Drosophila melanogaster: one gene and its partner. The protein of the gene in region 2 purifies or fractionates together with the protein of the main gene of each other region. This does not show direct contact. Each region holds a gene or a part of one and is shown on either strand. Other genes may lie near its edges. The genes, in order: Tdh and Nup62.

Region 1 (5,385 bases), on a different chromosome or scaffold from region 2:
TGTATCAATTTTTACACTCACATATATTTGCAATAAACTTAACAGCTACCACCGATCTTTATATAAATTCTGTTATACTTAAATTTTTTTTATATACTTTATTTTTTCTATTTTATTCGAAGTTTAAGTTAATGAAGTCAGCCAACTTTTAAAGAGCACTTTGTGGAAGATCCAAACAGCAAACGCGAAAGGCCAAGTTAGTGACCCAAATTGATAGACAAATCTCCAATCTGCTCGTTTACAGAATCCGCAGAGCAACGAGTGCCGTCCCCGCAGCAAAAGTCAAGAAAATCTAATAATTCTATTGGGAAAATCAAATTAAAGTCCATAGGCAGCGAAGCCGAAGCGGACTTGTATATAGCCACACACGGCGGCAGTCTGCACCACTTTTGTGGGCTCGGCGGATCGGAGCTAGAGGAGTCTGATATATGATAAAGTAACTCCGAGCAAGAATTGTACATCCTAGCCTAAGTTGTAATATAAGCTGTCGCAAACTAAAGGTGCTTACCAATAGTATTTGAGTTCGAATAAACCAAAAGCTATCGTGCGAAACTCACATCAATAATCGAAAGTATTTCCATGTGCTGAAGAACTTTAAGATCACAATTCTTCAAGATGAAATGAACCAATAGTTTTCCTTTCCAATAAATGCCTTACTGTATTTTAAAAGGTAAAATGTTACAGTGGTTTGTGTTGCTATTCACTAGATAAATGCAGTGTTAAATGCGATTGGATTTCATTACTTAGCAATACTAGATGCGGTTGTTCGATCCACGTCTTAGATCTGCAGAGTCTGCTGCTCCGGCTGAACATTAATGTAGTTATCCTGCACGTCCTTGATCATGAAGTCCACCAGGTTGGACAGGTCGTACTTGTGCTGCCAGTGCCAGTCGCGCCGCGCATCGGAGTCATCGAATACCTGCGGCCAGGCGTCTGCGATCAACTGGCGGCTATCTGGCTTGTAGGTCACGTGCAGATTGGGCACGTGCTTGCCCAGCTGGGCGAACAGCTCCTCGGGAGTGAAGGACATGGCGGTCACGTTGTAGACGCGGCGCTTCAGCTGTTCGTTGGGAGCACGCATGAACTCGAGGAGAGCCCTAGTTAGATGGGTCATTAGTAACAAAGAAATAGTTTGTTACAATGCACTTATTACTCACCGCAAACAATCTTCAATGTACATCATGGGCAGTCTTGTGTCAGGACGCAGGTAGCAGGTGTACTTTCCATTGCGCAGCGCTTCATGGAACACGGCCACAGCGTAATCTAAAAGTTGAAACAAATAACAAATGTGAAATGTTAAAGCAGGACTTGTTTTTGGTACATTATAAATTTGTATAAAGCTGCAGAAATGATTCGATTCACGGTGCGTATACGTGATTTCATAAGAATGCAATGGCATTAAAACAAATTAGCTTTCCCCAAAGTGTAATAAGCATTATTATTCCATTCATGAGTGAAAGCAATGCAGAGTAGTTGAGACTTAGACAATCTTTAAGTTAATCAGTTCAATCAAAGATAAGTTAATATGGGTCACCAGGTTTGCGGCTCCCCAACAAAACCCTCTGCATTTTGTACGAATTATGGCCATTGTCATGCTCTTTGATTATCATAAACTATCTTCAATTGGAGCATTTATGATACGAAATTGGATTAAATAAAGCTTGAAGTGCGCTCGACGACATGACTTCAGCGGGAAGAGTATCTCGCAGATATTTCCACGCAGATTGATGTGCTTGAGTCTCCACAGAAATGTACGGTGCTTAAATACCTGTGGTGCCGCCGCCCGGCGGATCACTGGAAATCACTCCTGGGAAGCGCAGGCATCTGAAGTCCAGTCCAAACTTGTGGTAGTAGTATTCGCCAATCAGCTCGGCGTGCACCTTGGAAACGCCGTAAATGGTGCGCGGCCGTTGGATCTGCGGAAATGGGTCCTCAGTATCGAACAAACTTCTGGCTTTGAAAGTGGTGGACCTACCGTAACATTCGGCGTGGGATTGCGAGGACTGTCGGGACCGAAGGCTCCGATTGTGCTTGGTACGAAGATGCGGAGCTTATACTGCTTCGCCAGCTCGATGACGTTGTGGACACCCTCGATGTTGACCCTGCGATGGAGGATTCATATTACTTACGATTAAAATGGCACAAGAGTCATTATGCAATAGTTACGTGGGAGTAGTTACTTGACTTTAGTTACTTGGAAAGGAATGTAGGATAGGGTTTGCTATAATGATTGCAACTAGAGATAACTAAGATATCCTACCTCACAGCCAGTGGAACATTTTGCTCTCCCACCGCACTCAGCAGGGCCGAGAAATGGATCAGCCAGTCAATGCGATGGTCCACAACGATCTTCTGGAGACCCTTGAAGTCCAGGATGTCGGCAAAAATGTAGGGACCATTCTCCAGTACCGACTGACTGGGCTTTATAATGTCCGAGAGGATCACGTTTTGGCTGCCATACTGCGTCCGCAGGAGTTTGGCGCACTCGATGCCCAACTGGCCCAAGCCACCTGAAAGAAATCAAAACGATTGTTGCACTCAGATTTTATTGAAAGTGAATCTACAATACATATTGTAGCATTCTTTCAGGCTTCACACTTAACGGGCCAGCATTTTGAGAAATAAAACGTGTATAAACGAATTAAAATAGGAAAATTAGTTTTTCCATGCACAGGTATAGGGAATTTACATATAATATTTGGAGCTAAAATCACCAGATTACCATTTCTTTCTTTATATATCCTAGTTATATAGAATAGATTGTTTAATGTATCTAGTGCTTCGCAGCACTTAGATCTTACACTAAAGTAAAAAAGTTATCATTTCAATATTATATTATATTCTTGCTGTTCTATTTGCTGACACCATCACTATAACTATAACTTGTAAGTTCACAAGGGATGTAAAACTTCCAAAAATGTCAAAAAATATTCAAAAGCATGTATAAACTGTGGGATGTCTTTCAGTTAAACGTGTCCACTATATGCTAAAATATGATAAATTTGTTCCGATCGGCCTTGGACGCGGTTAAATTTAGCAGATCCACGTGGCGCGGCAACTGACCTGTGATCAGAATTTTGGGTGGCCTACTCTCGCGAGGAACCTGGTGGAACGCGCGACGCTGGACAAGCTGGCTGGCGATCGGGGTGATCCTGGGCAGCGGAATGGGACTGGCAACTGGGGCCAAAGCCAGGCTGGCGAGGCATTTGCGAAACATTTTGCGAACTGGACTTTTTCGATTCGCGACGAGCGCTGCCAGCGAGCTGCGATTTTGAACTGATTTCGAAATTTGCGAAATGTTTTCCACCAGTCCCTCAACATTAGCGCCTTGTTTCCGCTATATACATATGTACATACATATATATATCGCCTGAGCACTCGGATCCCGTCGGCTCCAATCGTCTCGTCTGGTCGCTTAGTTACTTAGTCAATTGGGTTAGTGAGTGTCAGTTGGCAGCCAGTCAAATTCATTATGAGATCAGGAATGGGTATGGGTATGGCTATGGAAGTGGGACTTGTCGCCATGGCGCACCGATTTTGTTTGGGGCCCCGGCAAGATTCAATAAAAACGAAAGCAAATTATATGGAGGAGGCCCGCCAATTGACAACAACAACTCAGTTGGGTGGCTTTCCTTTTCTGCGGCGGGGCATGTCTAAATCTGTGCAAATACATCATATATGTACATATGTCTCGGTTGACGGGCGGTTATGTAATCTACAGGGTGCTCTTTAGCTGGGTTCTCGGACAGGCCCCTCTTTTCTAGGGGGCCAATCCATGCGGTGTGTGTGTGCGACCACTCGAATTCTCTTTACCCATCAATCGAACTGCTATAACATAAAGCCACTCTAACCCAAGGAAGTCTTTCTAGTAGGTAATAGTTTAAAACAGAACTTCATAGATTACTCGAACTAAATTAGAAGAAGTAATTACTTGTTAAGCACTCCAGCAAACGAATCGTAGAACTTGATCAACCAAAACAGTGTTAACTAGTCCCAACATACCATGTATTGTCTATCCTAAAACCTAACATCACACCATTCAGAAAGAACATCGTCCGATCTTAATGATAAACGATCCCTTCATGTGCCGCAAATCGAATTAACCTTGGATGGAATCCAGTGCAAATTTCAGTTTCGCTGACAGTGAACTGAAATCCCTGGGCGGGTGTCAGTCCGAATTTGAATAGAACACGTGGAGTGTCCAGATAGTAAAGTGCAATGAATCCGGCAATCGACGAGATGACCGACTAGTTTCCGTAGTGGTCTTATCGTCTGGTAGCAGTGGGGTGCAAACATGGCCCTGACAACTGCATGACGCATATAGATGGATTGGATTGGGGAGAATTTCGTAAATATTATGCTTATAGAATTAAAAATATTATTATATTATTGTGCCTGACAGGAGAAAAACAATAACAGCTGAAAATTTCACTTTTCTTCTTGCATGTTGTGCACCTATTCCGCAATATTTTATGTCTAAGCATTATCTTTTCTGTTTTTTTTTGAGAAACAAACTTGACAGTCTAGAAAATCTTGTCAAAATACAGTGTGCAATAAACACAACAAACGTAATACATGCTGCTTTTTCTGTTTTTTCTTGCTTTTAGGGTAATTTAAAACATAATTAATATAAAAAAATATAATATATAATATAATATAAAATATAACAATTATGCTACTTCTAACAGCCTTGCTTGGGATACAATGTCATTAGGAGCGAAGCGTACGATGCTCACAATGATCACCGTAGGACTTGGGTAGTTCCAGAGCTAATCGAATCGGATGAACTCTCCCACGATGCTGAAGAGTACGCAATTGTATGAATCGTCGTACGCTACTTCATTTGCACAGATAAACTGAAAACTGATCATACACAGCATCTGGCTACTTTAAATATTCCAGATCAAATATTATACGAGACAGCTAAAGATAGAAACATTCGAGTGGATCACTTGGACTATCCCTTATCGGAGCCGGAAAATGATTTCTATACGGAGAATATTTGCGAATTTATAAGAAATGAGTGTGTTTATTACTGGGCTAGTGAAGGGGCGGCATCCTATGGCATAGCAAAGGAGCGAAGGACGAAAGTCGAACAATCATTGGCTGACAAATTCTCGGCCATCACGTGGAAATCAACGACAGAAATGGGTGTTGGATGGGCGCCAAAAGATCGATCGTAAGTAAAGTGTGCATTTTTCGCGTCACTGGCAATAAAAAAAATACATGTTTCAGGAAAAAGGGCGGACGAAAGATATTGGTAGTGAGGTACAGTCCAGCAGGAAACCAGCCCGGAGAGTACGCAGAAAATATAGGAGATACCGAGTTCTTAGAATACTTCAAAATGCCAACAAGAGAGGATCCCGATAGATGGCGCAATGGTTC
Region 2 (4,217 bases):
TTCGTGTTAGTTTGGCAGCCTTGAGGGCTAGAGTTATATATTAGAAATTACATGATCGGATAAAGCATTTAGGCCGTTGGGAAAGCGCTTTCTGTCCGGAACCAGCTTCTGGGTATCGTTGTCGCGATTCTTCTCCAGCCAGCAGTCATCTATGATGACGTACTCGTAGCCAGCATCCGCATATCCTTCAGAAACCAGGAGATCCGCATGTCTTTGGAAAAGTTTTTCACTGAAACAGGTGAAATGAACAAGAAGTAAAGGAACATTTGAGGATCTGAGTTGGGTTTGGGTATTAACCTGATGCACTCATCCGGATACAGTTTACAGTCGGTGATGCAACGGAATCTGTAAGTAAGACATGGGTAATCAAAAATTCAGAGAATCTTTAAATAGACTATAGTTATATCAGTAGTGTTAGTTATATCAGCAATGAAATAAACAAAAGCGTTATTGCAGCGTAGCGTGTAGAGTTCATGCCAAGGCCTAATTTTTACTAACTATTAAAGTTTATTTATTTTAAATGTTAGACGTAATGATAATTCTTTATGATCTAATCTAGTTGCTGGTAAATATTTCTTACCGCTCCCAGGACATCCAGCCCATAGGTGGCCTAAAATCGACAGAATTTCAATTAAGTGGCCTAGAATCCAATCAAAATTTAATACTCACTTTAGTGCCAGGCCATTATCGAGGCCCATGGATAATTGCAGAACCTGCAGCAGAAGAATCCCGCCCAGAAAGACGCCCCACGTTCCGTACATGGCGAGCTAGTGGCACCGACTGAATCCTGGCCTTTGGGCACCCAGGGAATTTATATTCTCCAGCGGGCGGCACTCCAGATAACTCTGTTTGGCAGGGGCACCTGAGGAGCTGGAGGTAGGGGAATGGCACCTGAAGAGCTGACAGAAGGTTAGTGGCTAATTGCTATTGCAGCGGAGTACTCCCATCGACTGATTGGTGTTCGCCGGGTGGCGCAAACAGCGGGCTTTCTCGATTGCAGGAGGAGCCGGAGCCCCTTATCACGCCAAGTTCACAGCGATCACAGGGAGCAAATAGAGAAAATCGAGGAGAGACCGAGAACAGGGGCTTTTGATTCTGATATGCTTTTGTTGTTCAATTCTGGCGCTGCTTGCCAGCTACACTGGTCAACAAAGTTGGGGAAATAGTTGGAAGCATAGTAGACTAGAGCACGGTACTAGTGATGGGAAAACATGTACTAACAAAACATAGGAACTATGGTCTTTTATTAGAAAATTTTGATCTGGTTTTTAAGAATAATTTAAAATTTCTGTTTTTGAGGATCAGATCTCAGATCTTATGAAAATCTTAAAAAGAATCTTATTACAAAAAAAAAAAAAACCGAAGGTCAAAGACAAGCTCTAATTGTTGTACCGCATTACGTTTGTACCTTAGGTAATTTTTCTAATTTTGTGGCTGGCAGCTCTGAAGAGAACCTACACAGGTACGCAGAACGAACCTTCTGATAGGAAGCACACATGTGTTTAGCTGATTTAGCAAAATGCAATTACTGAACTGAGTGCCGCTGCACTTTGGGCTTGTAATTGAATTCTTTTGACCCAAATGTTACCTTATCGCCTTTGCACTTACAGATAGCAAAAGATGACTAATTAAAGCCGGTGTTTTGTTATTGATTTTGTTTGTACGATTGACTACGTTTTCTTTCTGAGTTGGTTTTTTTATTTAAGTTGCGCGGAATGATTTGTTCCATGTACGACTAAAACTGGAGCTAAAACATAGCTCTCGACCAGTGTTGTTTGTCGATTTCGCAAGTTAGTTGATCGCTGGTTAAAAAAACGGACACAGACATAAATATATTTTAAAAGTGCAAAAAGTGATTGCAAACGTTAAAATAATATAAATGTTTTGGTTTTCAGCATGTTTTAGTAACAAAAATGTATCGTCGACTGAGCAAAGTACTTCATTTGTATTGCCAATTCAAAGAAATTTAAAATTTAATTTTGCCGCCCAATCTTCAAACTGCTAAGTGTTTTGGCTTGAAAATAGCTAGCTTGAGCTCAAATTTAGTTGATTTCCAACACCGACAACATTGCGGAACTCCAAGGAGGGGTCACACTGGTTGCTTTTGGCGTGTTTCGTTTGATTTAGATTTATATTATTCGTCTTAAGTTTAAGCATGGTATTCCAGTTGCCAACAACAACCGCCGCCCCGACCGGAGGCGCAACATCGTCGTTTTCCTTCGGCCTCAGCACAGGAACACCAGCCGCAGCACCAGCTTCAGGAGCAGCAACCACGGCTCCCGCCACAAAAACCACATTCTCTTTCGGAACACCGGCACCTACTGCTGGTATCGGTGGCGGAGATGCAGACAACAGCAAGGCGCAGGCTCCACCAGCCTTTGGATTTGGCCTGGGATCCGGGACTGCTTCAGCTCCCCTCACGCTGGGCACTCAAGCCGCCGCAAATCCAGCGTCCACCACTTCTGCGACCGCGACTGGAACCTCTGCTGCTCCTCCCGCCTTCGGAGGCTTTACGGCTCAACCAGCGGCATCTGTGGTGCCAACTATAGCAACCAGTGCACCCAACACCGCAGCTACCACAACTGGATTGCTGGGCGGGTCTGGATTGGGAGCTCCCAAGACCACGGCCGCTGCGTCCACAACTCTGACTGCAGCTCCGTCGGCCATAGCCTCCACGCAGGGAGCTGCACCGGCCCCAACTTTAAGTACTGGTGGTGCTTTTGCCAATCTCACTACCGAAACCAAGACCACAGACTCATCGGCCGTTTCCACGGCATCCCAATTGTCCTACCACCAACTTGAGGAGCATATCAACAAGTGGACTCTCGAGTTCGAGGAACAGGAAAAGGTATTCACCGAACAGGCCACTCAGATCAACGCATGGGACAAACTGCTCATCAGCAACAACGGGAAGATCGTCGAGCTCAACGATGCCGTGAAAAAAGTGAAAACCGATCAGCAAGTGCTGGACCAGGAGCTGGAGTTTATAGCCACGCAGCAAAAAGAGCTTGAGGACAGCCTGGGACCGCTTGAGAAGGAATTCGTTAATCTCCCGAGGGTGGACATGGAACGCAGCCAAACCTACCTGATGGTGGAGAATCTGGACACACAACTGAAGCAGATGTCCGAGGATCTAAAGGAGATAATAGACAACTTGAACGAGGCCAACAAGGGCCAGGACACCACTGATCCCATCATACAGATCGGAAAAATCCTTAATGCCCATATGAATTCGTTGCAGTGGATCGAATCGCAGTCGACGAACATCAGCAAGAAGCTGGAAGACATTGGCAAGATTCAAGACTCCCAGAAACGCGATATTTTCCGAGCTCCTTTCTAAAGATAAGTCCCCTTAATTTGTTAACTTAAATAAAGATGGTTCCATTGTAACCACAGAAAGAGTAATGATTTTATTTAAGAATTTATTGTAAACATCATACTGCCTTCAATTAATAACCCTTGAAGTACTTAAGCCTAAAGAGCGGCACCTGTTTGCCCTTAGTGGCAAAGGCCAGGAAGCTGCTGTGCGGCGAAAAGGCCATGGAGGTCACAAAGCCAACCTTCTCGTTCTGTGCCGGGAAATTGGAGTACACAGTGGCGCTGGGGAAATGGGCCAGCTTAAAAGCATTCGGCGCCTCACTGGAGCACATCGCCAGTAGCTCAGATGAGTGATTGAACTGGAGATCCGTGATGGCAGTCCGTAGGTTCATGAAGCGCTTCTCGGGTTGTGGGGCCTTGGATGCGAAAATGCTCTCGTAGTCGTAGATGTTGACCACGCCCTCTTGACTGCCGGTGGCCAGTAGGCGTTGGTTGGGAGACAGTTGAATGGACTCTCCATGTATACAGCCGTCGTCCATGAAGATGTGCTCGATGAGGTTCTGGCGCAGGTTCAGCACGCTGACATTGGAAGTGGAACCGCAGACGAGGATCCTCTTGGAGTCACTAGACCATGTGAATCCCTTCACTTTGCCCTCCTGCTTGAAGCTGTGCAGCAGCTCATTTGTTTTGGCCGTGAGCAGGTGAATGGCTCCAAACTTGCCAGCAGTGACGATAAATTTGCCACATGGAGACACCTCAAAGCGGTGCATAAATTCCATTGCGCCCGGCAGCTTTAGCTTCGATTCCTTGGCTTCCAGCAAGTCGTAGGAGTAGTAGAATGGTTTCACAGAACCAAAGAACGCCCTTGTGCCGCATGGAGCAATTCTGGAGCACGCCAG

The links.
Region 1: the proteins of Nup62 (region 2) and Tdh purify together in Drosophila melanogaster (affinity purification with mass spectrometry, with the first as the bait; one large-scale study listed by BioGRID). This does not show direct contact.

Annotation. Positions count from the first base shown.
Region 1 is NT_037436.4:20,464,844-20,470,228, reverse strand, and holds Tdh (L-threonine dehydrogenase), read right to left. Parts: upstream 3,286-5,385; 5' UTR 3,218-3,285; coding exon 3,064-3,217; intron 2,511-3,063; coding exon 2,261-2,510; intron 2,103-2,260; coding exon 1,976-2,102; intron 1,917-1,975; coding exon 1,769-1,916; intron 1,264-1,768; coding exon 1,158-1,263; intron 1,098-1,157; coding exon 779-1,097; 3' UTR 637-778; downstream 1-636. Other genes in the region: CG32428 (uncharacterized protein), read left to right, coding at 245-432; CG42764 (uncharacterized protein), read left to right, coding at 4,576-4,608, 4,689-4,817, 4,878-5,179, 5,236-5,385.
Region 2 is NT_033778.4:16,342,426-16,346,642, forward strand, and holds Nup62 (nucleoporin 62kD), read left to right. Parts: upstream 1-1,951; 5' UTR 1,952-2,155; coding exon 2,156-3,340; 3' UTR 3,341-3,403; downstream 3,404-4,217. Other genes in the region: CG7997 (uncharacterized protein), read right to left, coding at 52-229, 298-345, 581-610, 670-761; wcd (wicked), read right to left, coding at 3,450-4,217. UniProt on the Drosophila melanogaster protein: Essential component of the nuclear pore complex. The N-terminal is probably involved in nucleocytoplasmic transport.